2 linked regions of the Drosophila melanogaster genome follow. The protein of the gene in region 1 interacts with the protein of each later gene in a pairwise test. Each region holds a gene or a part of one and is shown on either strand. Other genes may lie near its edges.

Region 1 (7,245 bases):
AACAAACCCACCGCAGCCGAAGTATCTGCCACCCCCACAGCCTAAGTCAGGCTATGATTACCCGAAGCCCGCCATTCCATTCCCAGCACCTACTAACCCACCTCAAAAGTACCTGCCACCACCGGTAATTCCCACTTCACCACCAGTACCAAAATATCTGCCACCTACAAACCCACCAACGCCCCAGTACTTGCCTCCGGTGCAGGTGAAGCAGGGTTACGACTATCCCAAGCCCGCCATTCCATTCCCGCCACCCACTGCCCCACCGCAGAAGTACTTGCCACCAGTGACCACAACACAAGCACCACCTCCACCTCCTCCCACATCCAAGTACCTTCCTCCACCTCAAGTTAAGCAGGGCTATGACTATCCCAAGCCCGCCATTCCATTCCCGCCACCCACTGCCCCACCGCAGAAGTACTTGCCACCAGTGACCACAACACAAGCACCACCTCCACCTCCTCCCACATCCAAGTACCTTCCTCCACCTCAAGTTAAGCAGGGCTATGACTATCCCAAGCCCGCCATTCCATTCCCCCCACCCACGAATCCCCCCCAGAAGTACATTCCACCCGTTGTGCCAACCAGCCCGCCCACTCCCAAGTACCTTCCACCCCCTCAGGTGAAGCAGGGTTACGACTACCCTAAGCCAGTCATTCCATTTCCCCCACCCGCTCCCAAGTCGGCGGGCTATTCCTACCCGAAGCCGGCCATCGCATTCGACTTTTGAATAACTCATCCGTCGATTGGCCCTCTCATCACTGATTAAATGACACAATTGCCTCTGTGTGCGCATAGTGATCCTTAGGAACGTACGAAATTGAATAATTGTAGTCTACTGTAATATTTTATTTAATAACTATTATTAATGATTTACCGGGGATCTTGCCTGCGGAATCTCCAATCGAACTTAGTCATTAAAATATGTTTTTAAAACTTATGTTTTAACGATTACGCAATGCTGCCGAATTAAAAATGACAATGTGAATGTTATGTTCTTACTGTTTTCTTTCAGTGTGTCGAAGGGTAAGACGTCTAGTCTTAGAGTGAAACAGCAGATCCCATCTAGAATAAACTAAAAATTCGGTCGAATCACATACTTTTAGACATCGCAGTTTATAGTGCTGGCTTGCCGAAAAGTAGAGTACATTTGGGCAACAAGAAATTAATAATTCTGCTCAAACTTCGGTAACGCGATAGCATTGGAATCATTCAACCTGCTATTTTTTAGCCGGAATAACAAAAGTCTTTCTGTGATACGGATATAATGCTATACATTGAGGCTTTTTATATTACTAAGATAAATTTTTTAATAAGTCTGCCTTACAAAATAGATCCATAATTCACTGGGTTTTTTTTAACTCTGTAGTCTGCCGCGAGGGACTTACTACATAAATATACACTTACTATATGCTTACTACATCCATATAAATCTTACAAAGGCCAAAAAGTATGCCTCGAATTTTCTTATGGTTGACTTTGAACTTGAAGCTTCAGATGACAATGCACTTGCTGAACAAAAAATTAATTTCGAAGCATTAAACGAGTTTCCGCATCTCGATTTGAACTAGTTTTTTCAGTTGCTGTATCGTCTCCGCTTGACGACAGCTCGGTATTAATGCCTGATAATCATTGGCTTTAGTGGCCAAAACTTCTTATTCTATTATGCAATATTATTGTTAGGCAAATAAGGGGGCTCCCGTCAATGGGGTTTCCTGTTAGTCGATTAATTAATCAGGCAGTGGAAGTATTTTTCAATATTTTTTTTATTTATGAATTTATTAATTTCGTTTCCCAGATGAAACCCGTGAGTCAAATAACAGGATTTGGCTCGGTTCGCTGGGGGTTCGTTGGAGCCTCTAGTAACGGTGACGGCGGAGGACCACGCGACGCTGGGTCTTGTAGCGGTATCCATCGTTGGAGGAGAAGGAGTGGGCGGGCTCAGAGGCGGCGGTCTCGTAGCTCTCAGCTGGGGCAGAGTAGGAAGCAGCTGGGGCGGAGTAGGAGACAGCTGGGGCGGAAGCGGCACCGCTGTAGTACTCGGGAGCAGAGTAGCTCTGAGAGGGAGCAGAGTAGGAGACAGCTGGAGCGGAAGCAGCAGCGGTGTAGGTGGCAGCAGGAGCAGAGTAGCTCTGGGCAGGTGCGGCGTAGGACACAGCTGGGGCGGAGGCAGCAGCGGTGTAGGTGGCAGCGGGAGCAGAGTAGCTCTGAGCGGGGGCGGAGTACACTGGAGCTGGGGCAGAGGCTGCTGGAGGCAGGTAATCGTTGGAAGGCAGGTGGCTCACATCACGACGGTGACGGCGGAGCACCACACGCTTGTGGGTCTTGTAGCGGTATCCATCGTTGGAGGAGAAGGAGTGGGCAGGAGCAGAAGCAGCGGTTTCGTAGCTCTCGGCGGGCTCGGCGTAGGAGACAGCAGGTGCGGAATAGGTCTGGGCGGGAGCGGCGTAGGACACAGCTGGGGCAGAGGCAGCGCTCTGGTAGACTGGAGCGGGGGCGGAAGCTGCTGGGGGCAGGTACTCACTGGTTGGGGCAGAAGCGGCTCCCTGGAAGGGGGGCAGGTAGTCGTTGGAGGGCACGCCACGACGATGACGGCGAAGGACCACGCGCTTGTGGGTCTTGTAGCGGTATCCATCGTTGGCCGAGAAGGTGTGGGCGGGCTCAGAGGCAGCGGTCTCGTAAGACTCAGCGGGAGCGGAGTAGGACACAGCTGGGGCGGAAGCGGCAGCGGTGTAGGTCTGAGCAGGAGCAGCGTAGGTCACAGCTGGGGCAGAAGCAGCAGCAGTGTAGGTGGCAGCAGGAGCAGAGTAGCTCTGGGCAGGAGCGGCGTAGGACACAGCTGGGGCAGAAGCAGCAGCAGTGTAGGTGGCAGCAGGAGCAGAGTAGCTTTGGGCAGGAGCGGCGTAGGACACAGCTGGGGCAGAAGCAGCAGCAGTGTAGGTGGCAGCAGGAGCAGAGTAGCTCTGGGCGGGAGCGGCGTAGGACACAGCTGGAGCAGCATAAGACACCGCTGGAGCAGAAGCAGCAACGGAGTAGCTGGACTCAACGGGAGCAGAGTAGGAGGCAACTGGGGCCGAGGCCTCTACGCTGTAGCTCTGGGAAGGAGCAGAGTAGGAAGCCACGGGAGCCGATGCTGCTCCACGGCCGGGGGGCAGGTACTGGCTAGATGGCAGGTGGCTGACATCAGCGGCCACGGCGGCGATGAAGGCGCAGAACAAGAAGAATTTCTGCAATGGAGAAAATGGCACATATTAGCTGATTATCCTAATGGCGCACCGTTCCTGGTTAATACCATTTTGCTGGGTGCTCGGCTGTCCAGTTGAACGGAGAGTGCAAGTGGAAGTGATGCCTTAGACAATGTTCTGCGGCTTATTTATATGATTCTAATCACCGGCCTGCGGCGAGAAATTTGCATTTGACTATTTAATTTATGAATTTGTATTTAGTGACACCGCCAAAACATATCCATTATAGTTTTGCAAGCAGGTTTGCAACGGGTTTTGCGCTCTGCTCAACTCCAGCGAGATCATGAGCCACGATTTGGGAGTCCCCCTTTCACCCCCGGCCTAACCGCCAAATCATCCAAACGGCCACTTAATATTTTAAGTATATTTCGTTAATACTTAGTGGCCAAGATCAGGTTCCATTGTTCCCCTATCCGCACTTGCCAATTTCTCCCAGACCAAACGCGTGCCAATTTCGATTCCCAATTCCGACCCACCCCAGCTCAATTTGCTTAATTGTCGATAATTATATTGTGGCTTAATCAACTGGTACTAATCGGGTTCTATGACTTCGGGTAATAAAAGCAGATGTTCGATAGCGGAGCGGAGAAAAGGCTAAAAACAGTTGGTAAGAAGCGAAATGACTGCCGAAAAAGCAATCAAATTGCGGAAATAAATCACGACCTCAATGCCGAAACAATACATAGATGTGACTGTCGAAAGCGATTGTATATCACCGGCTGAAAGAAAACCTGAACAAAATGAACTGAATACACTTTTGGAAAAATTACCTTTTATGAAGAGTCGAAGGAAAACATTAATAAAACGGGGTAATTAATTCTATTCCTCGAACTAGATTCTGCTAACAAAACGTTTCTATATTTAATTGCAAATCGTATATAAATAATATATCCACTATAAAATAACATTTTAATAAATTACATAAGCGTTTAGGTCATAAAAACCTATTAAATTAATAACGGCATATTAAAAAGACACACCATCCAAGAAAGTTAACATACCCTTACTTTTGTAGGTAAATGGTCTAAAAGCGTTAAGCAGGCTTGAACTTTTTGAAGATGAGATTGCGGAAGCTTCGGCATAAATAGATTTCAATTTCGATTATGTGTCAAGTGTATATTGCTTCTCTAATCCCACGTTCTTATGTGTATAATTAGATCGTGAAATAATGAATATATTCTAGCCCTAAAACCTTTTTATATTATTACATTAAATTATTATTTTTAAATAGGTTAATACATGTTTAAAAACTTTGTCGTTTTTTATTATTCTCTGGTTTATATATTATCCGCAAAGATTTATGTTTTATCCGAATATATTCCTCCTTCAGTCAATTCTATACATATAACCTTTTATCACCCAGCTCGTACACCCAACATAATAAAATTAAAAAGAGCTGAATGTATGGATTCGTTATCGTATTATTGTATTTGAATGAAAAAGAGGTATTCTAATAGTAGGGTCTGCACTCAAAAATGAGCACAATTCGATCACCTAGTGAAGCCTTTATCGGATGATTTAGTGGCGGCGCAACACAACGCGCTTGTGGGTCTTGTAGACGTATCCATCATCAGCCAGGACATGGGCGGGAGCCGCCTCGACGGTGTTTTCCTGGGGGGCAAGGTACTCGGCAGAGGGAGCAGACTGCACGGGAGGCAAGTACTCGTTGGAGAGCTCGTTCACATCACGACGGTGACGGCGGGTTACCACGCGCTTGTGGGTCTTGTAGCGGTATCCATCAACGGCCAAGTCGGTCTCAGGAGCAGTCTCAGCGGGAGCCAGGTACTCGTTGGAAGGAGCTGCGAAGGGGGGCAGGTACTCGTTGGAGAGCTCGTTGACGTCACGGCGGTGGCGGCGGTAAACAACGCGACGATGGGTCTTGTAACGGTAACCGTCATCGGCCAGCTCATGGGCGGGCTCAGCCTCAACCACGACAGGAGCGGGGGCGGCCAGCTGGACAGGGGCGGCGATCTGAACTGGAGCGGGAGCTGGGGCAGCAACCTGGACGGGGGCGGACACTGGGGGCAGATACTCGTTGGAAGGAGCAGCAGCCTGGACTGGGGGCAGGTACTCGTTGGAGGGCAAGTGGCTCACATCACGACGGTGACGGCGGGTTACCACGCGCTTGTGGGTCTTGTAACGGTATCCATCATCGGCCAAGATGGTCTCAGGAGCACCCTCAGCAGGAGCCAGGTACTCGTTGGAAGGAGCTGCGAAGGGGGGCAGGTACTCGTTGAAGAGCTCGTTGACGTCACGGCGGTGGCGGCGGACCACCACGCGCTTGTGGGTCTTGTACCGGTAGCCATCATCGGCCAGCTCATGGGCGGGGGCAGACTCGGCCTGCACGGGAGGCAGGTACTCGTTGCTGGGTCCGGCGATGATCTGCTGCTCCTGGACGGGAGGCAGGTACTCGTTGGAGGGCAGGTGGCTGACATCGGCAGCCACGGCTGCGATCACGGCAAAAGCGACCAGGAAGAGTTTCTGCAAGAGACAGTTGGGAAATTTGTTTAGTTTAGTCCTTCAGTGGCGATTCGATGGCTCCTAAATTGTCGAATCGTACCATATTGTCCGATGAGTTGCTTGTTCACAGCAGTAAAACCGAAACTCTAATGAGGAATACGCAGAACCTTTTGGTATTTATACAGATTCTCCGCTCTTCGCTGGCTATTACAGAGCTGGCGTTTTTTGCGCCTCTGCCCAAAAAGACGTCGCTGCCGGCGCAAGCGTCTGTAAATTCGCACGACTTCGGCTTTGGTTTGGCTAAGCTACGGGTTCTAAGCCGCTCTTTTGCGGCTCAAACGCAGCTTGGCCAACACGATAGACGGCGACTGCGACGCTTACATTCGCACAAGCTATAGCTTCGGAGCAGTTGATGGCTAAAAAAAAAATGTTTAATGGCCAAAATCGTTCGCACGGATTCTCTTAATTGTTTTATTTAATCATATGCAAAAGATTTGATGGACATCAACGTTTTGGACAAGTCGAGCGCGCAAAGATACTCACATACAAATATATATAAACATATACATATATCCGTATTAACTTGGCTCTCGTCTTGTTTACACCTCTTTGTGTTCGCTCCACCTGCCTGGTTTCATTCAAGCCGCTATTGGAATTGCGCTCGATATAAATTCAAATGATGAGTTATATGTTTCAATCAAATTCGCTCACTTCAATAGCTTTCCGAATCGCCACTCAAAAAGTCGATTATTTCGATCGCAGCCTCTTCCCATTGTGGCGATGTCGTTCGCCGTTCATTAATCAACAAATAGGAACTGACCAAGCGAGCCATTCAATTTTTGGAAATATGATATAATTATGCCTGATGCGTACGAATTGTATAAGTTTGTAAACCGAATGCCGGATATAGGATGACGAGATCTTCAGAAGATCCCATTGTGAATTCTAAGAACAATCCGCTTTGTGCGGATGCGCGCTTATCAATTACTAAGTTTGAAATGGCTAATAATATTTATTGACATTAAAAAAGACAACAGTATGGATATGTCTAAAATATATAATTGTTATTTAAAAATAAAATTTAAGTTTTAATAAAACATTGATTTGAAATCGTAATAGGTACAGCTTACTTTTAAAAACATGTTTTCTTATAATTATTAATCGACCAATTTGGTTGACACAGCACACTTAATCCCAGCTTAAGCATTTTTCAATATCATCCAGATGTGACATTTAATCTGCAAGTGATTTTTTGTGTCACTTCTGGTTAAAAACCTCTCACCAATTGTTTCCAAAATTAAACATGGACATGCAAGGGATGTCCGAATAAATCAAGTTAATCTGTTTCCACCTGCATATAAGGAGTATTTATTTTCGCTTATTTATGAGTTAGTTTAATTTTAAACGCATGCGCCAGTTGATAAAATAGGATTGAATGATTAAATTGAAGATATTAATGCGTTTAAAAAAAGAAGGCAGGCCATCAAGTCAAGCTAATCAATTTGTTAAGAGTCAAAGTGCAGCAAATGATTAATGGTTT
Region 2 (10,431 bases), on another chromosome or scaffold:
AAACGGCACTCGACCAAACTTTGATATGCTGCCTTAAATCTACTTCTATTAATATATTCACTAAAAAAAATCCCCTTGATAAGAGAAGATGCCTAAAGCAACATAAGCACAAGCAAAATCCGCAAAAACAATAATCGAGAAAAGGCAGCAACTATTTTGGCCAAATTATGTCAGAGTTGCCTCCAAAGATGTCTAGCTCTCGTGATGTCTACGATTTTGCTGATTTTTTTTTCTGAGTTTTACACACATACGTGAATTTTTGTTAAGATGATTTGTGCCAGTGCCACTTGAACTGTGCGTCAGCAGTTGATTGAGGCAGATTCGAGCCCGAGATGAAGACGATCTCGAAGATGAAGATGAAGGCGATTGAGGCGATGGAGGTGATGCCTGGCCCTCGGCATGTCAGATGTCGATGGTGATGATGCTGCTGCTGATGTTCATGTAGTTCGTCTTTTATCTTTTGGCTTTTTGTTGCCCCAATGTCTGCCTGCAGTACTAGGCATTATTGCATCATCAAGCAGATTGAGCAATGAGTGGATTTAAATACAAATTTAATGGTTTCAGTTATGGCCCATTGTGTTGGGACGGGGTCGTTAAACCGTAGTCGAAAAGTGGCTTATCGATACGATTTATGGCTGAGAACAAATATTGCCAACTGATAATAAATCAAAATAATTGTAAAATTATGAAATATTAACTGTGTCAAATATAAACACGTTTTAATTTGGTTAAAACGCATTGCTATGTTTTTTTTTTTTTGAAGGAAATGAATGTAATCCTCAATTTTATCTTTTACAGCTTAGTAGATTTGATGAGCTGAACAAATTTATGAAATTCTTTTGGGCTCTCATATTTCGGCTTAAATGATTAATTTACGTTTGAATAATTCACTTAAAGATGGATGTTGGGAAAGGGCTTCTTACATACTGCCAATTGTACCGAGTTTGGAAAAGGAACCACAAAAAAGCGTTTTGCTGACACACCAAATGGGAAGCACACAATTACCGGCCATATTTCTTCCCTGTGTTTCTCTGCCATTCGGTCGCTTTCCTTTTGTGGGCCGAACACGTGCAAAATGTCCAACACGGTGGCCAAATGGGGCCAGAGTAGCAAAAACGCCATAAATGCCCAGGTCCACTTACAATTATTGCCCCAATGGAGGGAGTCGTCGGTGAGTTGCAAAAAAAAAGAAAGAAAAAAAAACAAAAAAGGCCGCTGCCACAGAGGCTGCCCCAGCTATGAAAAATCGAAAGTGGCAAGCCGAGTGACAAGCGTAGAGCACAGCGGTAAAAAGAGTCATGTGCTATAGGCTATAGCCATTCGATTCGATTCGGTTTAGATTCGGATTTGGATTGGTAGATAGGTATAGAGGTATTGGTACTGGTACTGCGACTGGTATTGGGCTTGGGTGCAGCGCAATCTGCGACTCAGCATCTGTAATGCTCGCTGCAGCTGTTGCCAATTCACATTGGTTGTGGTAATCGTAATAACCAAAAGAAACTGAAGAAATCATAAAACGTTGAAAGATGCATAGTATCACTCACTTATAAGTGTAAGGAATTCAAAGAATTAAGCTATATTACATGTAAATAGTTCTTCATTACTCATGCAAGATGTTTTCATATCTTTAGGATACATAGTATATCTTTTTTTGATGGCAAGCTCTATGGCAGTACAATTCGATATGAGGCCTACAATATCGATTGAAATCAGATATATGTACTCCTCAATCATTGATGTTACTACTTGTGCAATATTGTTGCCAATATGAAATAGCTTTGCAGTTTTTCCTTGCCATCACTAAGAGCATGTTGCAATGTCGCCGGTGCGAAGTATCTGATAGATAGATACCGACCGAAAGAGCCGAGCAAACACACACACATACGTATTGGAATTGGAGCAGAGATCAACGAGTCTGCCGCCAGTCAAAGGCAAACATCTGGTTGCGGCACCGCTCCCTTACCACCCCCTTACCATTACCGGAAAATGCATCACCACCGCCCCCCGCTGGGTGGCCAGGTGCAGCCGGTTTCCTGTGCGTTGGCAACGTGTGCTGCCCAAGTCCCAAAACGACGTTCGCCATTAAAAGCGGCAAATTGCTCTGGCTCCAGAGCCTCTGAATGGGTCCAAATAGTGCATATGTACCTATATTGGGGTTGGGATTCTACGGCAAGGAATGTAGGCCTGATGAACTGCAGGCTGGCTAAATGAACTCAATGGATGGATGGATGCCCGGTGAAGGCAACAATTTTCGAAGCTCTCGTGACCAGAAATCCAAATAACATTCGAAAGCTGAATGGCATGAGCTTGCAAGACATTTATAGATATATTTCTAAAGATATATATGTATATAAATACTAACATATGATAGGAATTTATATTTTTAAATAATTTAAGAAGCATAACATCTGCGGTCGCTGAGATTTCGCAAATCCTTTAAAATTCCCCAAACAATTATTTGTTAATTGCCTGCTTTTTTATCTGGTGACACATCTGACCACAAAGTGTGGCCCACTTGAGCTGGCTTAATTGAATTGCTTTTGGTTTGGTCTATGGGCCATCAATTGATTGTTTGCACTCGACACTCACCGCAATAGGAAATAATAACTGACCTGACTGAATAAACACCATAAATATCGGCACGACTTTGGGGATACCACACAAAAAACCAACCGCCACCGCACTGAAAGTGAAAGCTTTTTTTAAGGTTTTTTCAAACAATTAATTTTATAAATACCTTTTGGTAGCTAACAAAAAAAACTGCATAAATTATTTGGGCTTTAGCTGCTGGAGATGGGAAAAGTCTCGAATGAGAAATGATGCTCATCACCTGTTTTCTTTTGATGAATTCAAAGGCGGCGCACATTGCCCCACCCGAATGTCGGTTCAAGTTGAAGTTGAAGTTGAAGTGATGCAATTTCTCTCAGCAGCGATTTCAATTTCTTTCCGCAAGTGAAAAAGACTTGAACTTGGCAGCTGCTTTTTTTTTTAAACCACTTACTCTAGCAACGGCTATGGTCACTATGCGGTTAAGTTGAATGAGTTTCGAAAATGGGTGTAATATATGTTGGGTATGAATCAGCTTCTTTTCCTAAATGATGACAGTTCAAATTACAATTTCTACTTTTTAACTGAGTTTTTAGATACATTTCTTTAGAGCAACTTCAATTCGTTGTGTAATGAAGCCCAGTTTTGCTTACATATCTATGGCATTTCCCTGGCGCAGCCGCATTTCAACGACTCTCAAATTTGCATATCAATGTGACTTTGAGTAGCTCTGCGACTGTGACATAACCACCTGCTGTCATTTTAATTTACTGCTAATTAATTTACAGGCCGGCCGAAATTACATCTAGCCAAAGACATAAAGACTGAATGGGATCTCTGATTAATTTTGATGGAAATTGGCAAGCGAACATGTGAGGTGAGCTCAGACCGAGGATCAAACCCGTTCGAACATGCTGGCAGAGAAGCGCCAAAGACTTGTAACTTGGCTCAAACCGTTGGCCAAAACAGTTGAGCGCCGGTCGAAGAAGCGAACACAACGCGGTTGCGCATGCGCGTAGATCATGTGCCGATCGGACGTGTTTGAAATTTACAATTCACAAATTGGCTAAAAGAGCGTTCTATAACCATAAAAGTGCTCTGTGACAAGTGACCGACGGCATAAAACAAATTCAAATTTATAACCAACACCAAAACCAAATAAATAACAAGGTGAATGAAACTGCCCAGAAAACTGTGTCAAAAGCAAAGAAAGTTGCTATTTTTTTAGTGTGGGCAGGCTGCCAAGTATCTTTTTAGGTGTATCTTCAGCTCCGTCTGATGTTCGTTTTCAATCTTTTGCGGGCTTGTCGAGATTGAGTGATCATCTGCGTGGGTCTGTGCCACATAAATTCGAATGCATCTCAGGTGTAATGTAATGATCACCATTTTAGGGCACTACGCCCAGGTATGCGAGAGAACTGTTCTTCTCAGGTGATTCATGATAAAAACTTCTGCTCGTCTCGCATACTTTTTTCAAAGGTGCGGCAGAAGATGTGACTTTTTAAATTCATTTTACCCTGCTCTCGATTGGTTTGATGTAAATCCACAATTGGGCATGATATCACTCGAATAAATATTTATATATTTGAATACTTAGCAAGGTCGATTGGCATTTGGCAAACGTGTTTCCAGTTATTTTGCATTATAATCCGATGTCGAAATATTTACCTTACCTTTGCATAATTTGTGCTGAATGAGACATGGACAGGTTGTTAATTATTACCTTAATTGAAATATTCGGAGAAAACCAAAGTCAATCGAATAATATTATGGAGGTGGGCAAAATTTTGAGTAGTAAAATATAAATAGTGGAATATCTTACCAGTTAATATTTATAAAGAGTGTTTGTGGTTGCTACCTACAAACCTACATTTATCTTAAATAAGTTTATTTTTAGTATACTTAAATTTAATCTTTATTTAAATATCCCATTACGGTCATCCGTCTTAATAGCATTTAATAGCCCGGATTTGCACAAATATTGATAGTTGTCTTTTATTTTAAGCCTAACTCAGGTGGCCAAAACCACTATCAATCACCAAACACGCTAACAAGCCCGACTGATTACACAAAGTAACTCGACGCGAACTTGTCACATTTGATATGCAAATGGCCAGAAGCCAAAGTCAAAGCGGCACTTTACGCTGAAATGAATCTGAATCCGAAATTGAATCTGTATCTGAGGTTGACCGGGGCAATCAGCCAACCGCAGTGAAGGAGTGGAAGTGCCGTCCGAAGATGCCAATTAATTAACAGGGTCTTAGGGGTTTTAAGTGGTTCCATATCCACGAATGTGTTTGCATATTCAACTCTAATTGCGTCTAAACACTGCGCATGCAATTAACTTTTCACGGTAAAGGGCCACGTGGCGCATACGTAATGCGATTTTCACCCACCAAGAACATTTATTATTCTTATCAATTTATTCATCAGTTATCTAGAATAATAACTGGAATATCAAGTATAGAGTGCAGAATTTGTATGCCTACATTGTTTGTTTTGGATTGACTACATTTTGGAGTTCCTTTAAATAATAAATAGCTTAAAAAACAAGCCCTAAACCATTTTCACTCGCGTGCAAATCACTGAAAGTGCATTCAGATGGGCTTCTGTGTGCATATTTTGTTTTGTTTGGATATATGCCATAAAAAGTTTATAGACCCTGAAAGATACACAGATAAACGATTTCATTTGCGTGTCACAGCCAAGTCACGTTGTTTTATTTTTTTTTCGCGGTACAGTTTGTGTATTTTATAAAAAATATATTCCCATCGGAAACCTTTTTTCTTGATCAGGCCATACAAATGTTAATCGATAACCGAAGAGATTAAAACAAACCAGGCAAAAACAAAACCAACTCAACATTTTTATGCAAATGCACAAATCACAAATGCCTCGAAAAGATTGCGCAAAACCCTTTTTTGAAATGGGCGTTTTATATTGTAGAAATAATTAAGGGGAAAACCCCGGAGAAAACCAAAAGCCTATGTAAAATATCAGCCGAAAAATTTGCCTAAAAATTTAATTTAATATTTTTTAAGGTATTTTTTTTAACTTTGCGGAAACAGATGCATTAATATTAATATTTTCTGTGCCCATTCATGCTTTTCATTCAGATTTCGGTAGAGATTTAATCGAATGAAAGAAATGTGAACCGTTTTTCGCTTATTACATGTTGATATTGTCTTTTATGTTAAATAAACTCTGAAATGAATATGCAGTTAAAAAAAAACTGAACGTTTTTCATTTATTTAGTTTTACAATGGAAAACTCGGTGTATTTTAATTCCATTTCGATGGCACTGCAACTGACAAGCCTGATCGAAAATCTAGTTAACCTTCTCGACAAAATGGAAATTTGTGTATTTTTTGCATGGCACTTATTCCACTTGATTTTGTATCGCATATTTTTATAAATTTATACAGTTGCCGACGGGCTCCATTTCAGATTTTAATTAAATAGTTTTTTGTTTTTTTAATGAAATTTGATAAGTAAAGCAATTTGTTTTCGATGCCCGAAACGGGTGGATGGGTTTTTTGTTAGTTTTCCTTTGACGTAAACCAGTCTGTTGGCTAATGGAATATCTCGGCTTATTGGCAATTGGAATGCCAATTGATTGGCCATGCTAAGTTATGCAGATCCATAAACCGGCTAATGGTTGCAATCTGAAGTCGTGAAGTGTAACACCTGCAAAAGATATAGCCAAGCCGGTGTGCAATTTTAAGCCGGCATTAATGCCGCGGAAAATTCGCGGCCAACGCCGAAGAACGGGTTCGATTCGTTGACGGAAGAGTTTTCAGTATTGGCCACAAAGTGCGTTGCGTAAGCAACCAGTTGATGCACTTGCTCATGGCTTTCCCACACCACGCGCACCATCTCCGCATTTTCCCAACCAATATTTATGTATTTTTTCTTTGCCTTTTTTTCTTACAGCATGCGTGAACGCAGTCAAACGACCCCAAGAAGGCGACGAGCCGGTCCAAAACAGGCCTTACCTGGTGGCAGCTCCTCGGAGGGAGTGGGCGCCCTGGAATCCCCCTATTATACCATTGACAACACGGAGGATATATATGGCACCACGCTGCTGCCCTCGCAGCGCTGCTATGTGGATCCCTGGGATCTGGAGAACTATGATTATGTTCGCAAGAAGATCGATGATGTCACCGGTGGCGGTGGTGGTGATGGTGATGGTGAGGCAATTGAACCTGCCTACGGAGGTGGTGGCAACTCGCTGACGACCAGTCCCACATACGGATACGGAGTGGGTGCCGCCGGTGCGGGTATGGGTGTGGGCATGTCGGCCACAATGCCACGCCCCCACACCCAAAGTCGCCGGGTGTCGCGTGCCCAGTGCCAACTTGAGTGCTGTGTGCCCCAAAGGACTCGTCGCCGTAGCCGCAGCGCTCGCAAGGAGCCACTCTATACGGCCAGGAGCGATATTTACGGTGTGCCCAGCCGCTATGAGGACTACATGGCCACCATGACCAGGCAGTTGCACCTGGACAACGGCGAGGATGAGGAGCCGGAAGATCTTTACGGCGAGGAGCAGCGGCAACTGTACAATGGCTTTGGAGGTGAGTGAAAAACGCAAATAGCAAATGCAAATTCGAAACCCCTTTAAAACTAGATTTTAATTTAAAATTCCTTTTGTTTCGTAATAACCAATTTATTTAGTTAGCTTTGTATGCAAATCACACAAATGCATTTAGATTTCATTTTCGATTCCATTTGATTGTTACAATTTACGCAGTGCGTCTTTTATGGCAATTCGATTAACGTTTAATTGCAAATCTCTGGCAAAATCATTGATTTTTGAGCTTGACTAATGAAATTTGATTTTCTGTACTTGGGGATCATTAATTACTTAGTATTTGTTATATATTTTGATTACTAATCCTTTTCAAACTATATGTAAGTATAAATGTTTTATTGATTTTAAACCCATCGAGTGCTTAAATATAAATGTAGCTGTTGTAAAATACCAAATGATTTTGATAGCTTTCACTAATGCCGTGTAATCTCACACGTTTCAGGCTTCTCCAGCACCAGTTCCACGGAGCATCCCTCCTCCATTGGCGATGAGCAGCCCGTTCTCCAACGACGCGCGGCCACGATGCAACGCCGCTCCGTGCCCAGCGAGATGCAGCGGAGCACCAACATGGTCGGCAGCTATGGAACTGCCCCCCATCCGCGGCGCAAGCGAAGCGGTAAGGCGGCGCCCATGGCCGCTCCGCCGCAGATCGATTTCCCCGCACCGCCGCCACTTTCGCCCGCCTACGACTACTGTAATCCCTATGCTTCACTGCCGTACTGCAGCATACCGGATTGCAGCGAATGCCAGCAGCAGATCTATGCCGCACCCTCCGCCCTCTACGGAACCATGGGCGGCTTGGTGGGTGGTGATGGCAGTCGGGTTAGGGGCTCATCGCCCCATCATTCCAGCGGTGGTGACTCGTCGCTCTACTCGGGAATTTACGCACGTAAATTCGGACTGAGCAAGAAGGGTCTACTGCAGATCGACTACTCATGCAGTTGGAACGATCTGGACAGGGTGATGCAGCGCCATTACTGAGATCCATGGGGCCGCATCCACGTGGATCTGGGATTTGGGTGCTTGGGTTAGGCTAACTACCAACACGTTTGCACCAATCGCGAACAGAAACCTTATTGTTATTTAAGTCATTTTGCATTACAGATACAAACACAAACACATACACACACACACACTGAAGACCAAATAACTGAAACATGTTTGTCGTAGATATATAGTGTTTTCATATTCATATTTACCGAATAAACATTTTGAAGTCAAGCATTAAGGATTTGTAGTTATTATTAAAACTTTCAAGGTATGAAAGTTTAAACTTGGCTATATGGAGAAGAGCTAATAGTTCTCAATAAAACTTAAAAGTAGAGTAAGACTGAACATAAGATAGTTTCTTTATTTCTTATAATTATAGATTTGTTCATAATATTAGCAAAGTTGAAGTCACTAATTAGGCAAAGCATTCAGAAACAAATAACTTGACTTGGTGACAAAGAAAAGTTCCTCTTTTTCCACTCTAATTAGTTGTGACGTCACTAGGCGAATGTTTCATGTTTGACAAAATGTTTGCGGGGGGAGAAATGAGAACACGGAAATGGTTTTAGCGCCGGACTTTGATGAATGTTTTGAGAATTGTCAAGCCTAAGTTAGTCGAACAAATGGCAAATGCGGCAGGTGTACGAACGAAATGGGAAATAAGTGACAGCAGGAAAGTTTTTAAAGCACACCTTTCGGTGTTGAATGGTGGAAAAATCCATTAAACTTTTCGCCAGCAAAGTGGGAAATGCAACTTCAGCTCGATTATCTCGGCCGGAGGTGCACAAATACATGGAGAGCGACCTGTTCAAAAGGGAAAATCAATAAGGTAAATAAAACGGAAAAGATTTTCCTCTATCTCCTTTGCTCTTGCCCCCTATTTCTCGCCATCCGCCCGCCTGCCCCCTTTGCCGCTGAATGCGATTTCAATTTCTCAATCCAATTTACCTTTGCAACACTGTATACACATCAGTACACAGACAAAAAATTTGTGTTGAAATGTATTTCAACTATAAAAAAGCAAAAAAAGGCAATATAAAACTTTAAAATCGTGTCATATTTTAAACATAACCATTAGAAAAATTTCCAAAAAAAACCTTTTTAAAATTTGATGGCAATTTGATATTTAAAAATATAAAGTATTATTATATATATAATATATTTTGGTTAATGCACATGCAAACCAGTAGTTCCTACGGAATTTTAAATAAAACAAAAGCAAATTTAAAAGCCGACTTTTTGTTTTCAGTGTAGCAATTTCAATACCAACACAAACACAAATACGAACCAAAGTACAAACACAAAGCACAAGTAAATCATAAAAAGCAGCAACAACAAGCATCTGCAAAGCGAAAATCTGAATGCACAAAAAGAAATGGGGGGTGGTGAAATGTTCCAAGTCGGATGGAAAAAAGAGACATAAAAAATGAGGAGCTAAGGTTTTTGCTATGCACATAAAAGCGCAAATATTTGCGCAACATTTTCGTCGTCGTCGTCGGCGATAAAAATCGAACAAGAAAAATATGCAAAAAGCTGAACAAGCCGGCGGGGAAATAAAAACGTCGCAGAAATAAGCCGAAGAATATAAAAAATATATATATGTATGTGTATATTAGTGTGGGTCCCTCTTTTTTACCGGGGATTTGCCTTTATTATTGTATAACGTCAAACATTTGCATGCGGCGACGCCTAAATGTATGCCACACTTTGTTCACCAGCTGCCACACCCCGTCGAAACCACCCCCCCCCCCTTGATCATCTTGCCCCCCACGACCACTTTTTGCCACTTTTTGCATTTGCATTTATGTGCGGCGCCAATTCGAGCTGCCACGCCTCCGGCCTGCGCCTGCCTACCCCTGACTGCCCCGCCAAACAAATGCAAATCGCAGCGAAAATATTTCGCACTTTCACGAAACTGAGTTGAATACCTGGCCACCAAAGCAACCCACCCACCTGCCAAACCCAAAGCCCCAACTGCGATTCCTATCTCTCTTTCTCTGCGAACGAGTGCTCGAATTTGGCCTGGAAAAGTGCTCCCAATTTGCAAGCCCCTCCCCCTCCCCACCCAATTGGCAACCAAAGAAGATGGAAAGCCCTTTTCCGTTAGGCGTTTTGTCAGGCAATTTGGCAGCGATCTGTGAAGAAATGCCTAATTTTCCATAAATATACAAGAGGTAAAACCATAAAAAAATGCATATTTTAGATAAGAAAACACTTCATTTGCATTTCAAAAATTTTAAAAATTTAAATAAATCAGATAATTGTTAACTTTTTATTAGATAGCTCAATGCGTCTTTTAATCT

What was found. The genes of interacting proteins can lie anywhere in the genome.
Region 2: the proteins of CG11350 (region 1) and CG8854 interact in a two-hybrid assay, tested with the Drosophila melanogaster proteins (one large-scale study listed by BioGRID).

What each region holds. Positions count from the first base shown.
Region 1 is NT_037436.4:4,478,894-4,486,138, reverse strand, and holds CG11350 (uncharacterized protein), read right to left. Parts: upstream 3,331-7,245; 5' UTR 3,296-3,330; coding exon 3,293-3,295; intron 3,228-3,292; coding exon 1,860-3,227; 3' UTR 1,769-1,859; downstream 1-1,768. Other genes in the region: CG13722 (uncharacterized protein), read left to right, coding at 1-730; CG7465 (uncharacterized protein), read right to left, coding at 4,764-5,726, 5,806-5,808.
Region 2 is NT_033778.4:12,222,394-12,232,824, reverse strand, and holds CG8854 (uncharacterized protein), read left to right. Parts: upstream 1-3,514; 5' UTR 3,515-3,717; intron 3,718-5,978; exon of another isoform or gene 5,979-6,480; 5' UTR 6,481-6,481; coding exon 6,482-7,121; intron 7,122-7,580; coding exon 7,581-8,119; 3' UTR 8,120-8,364; downstream 8,365-10,431.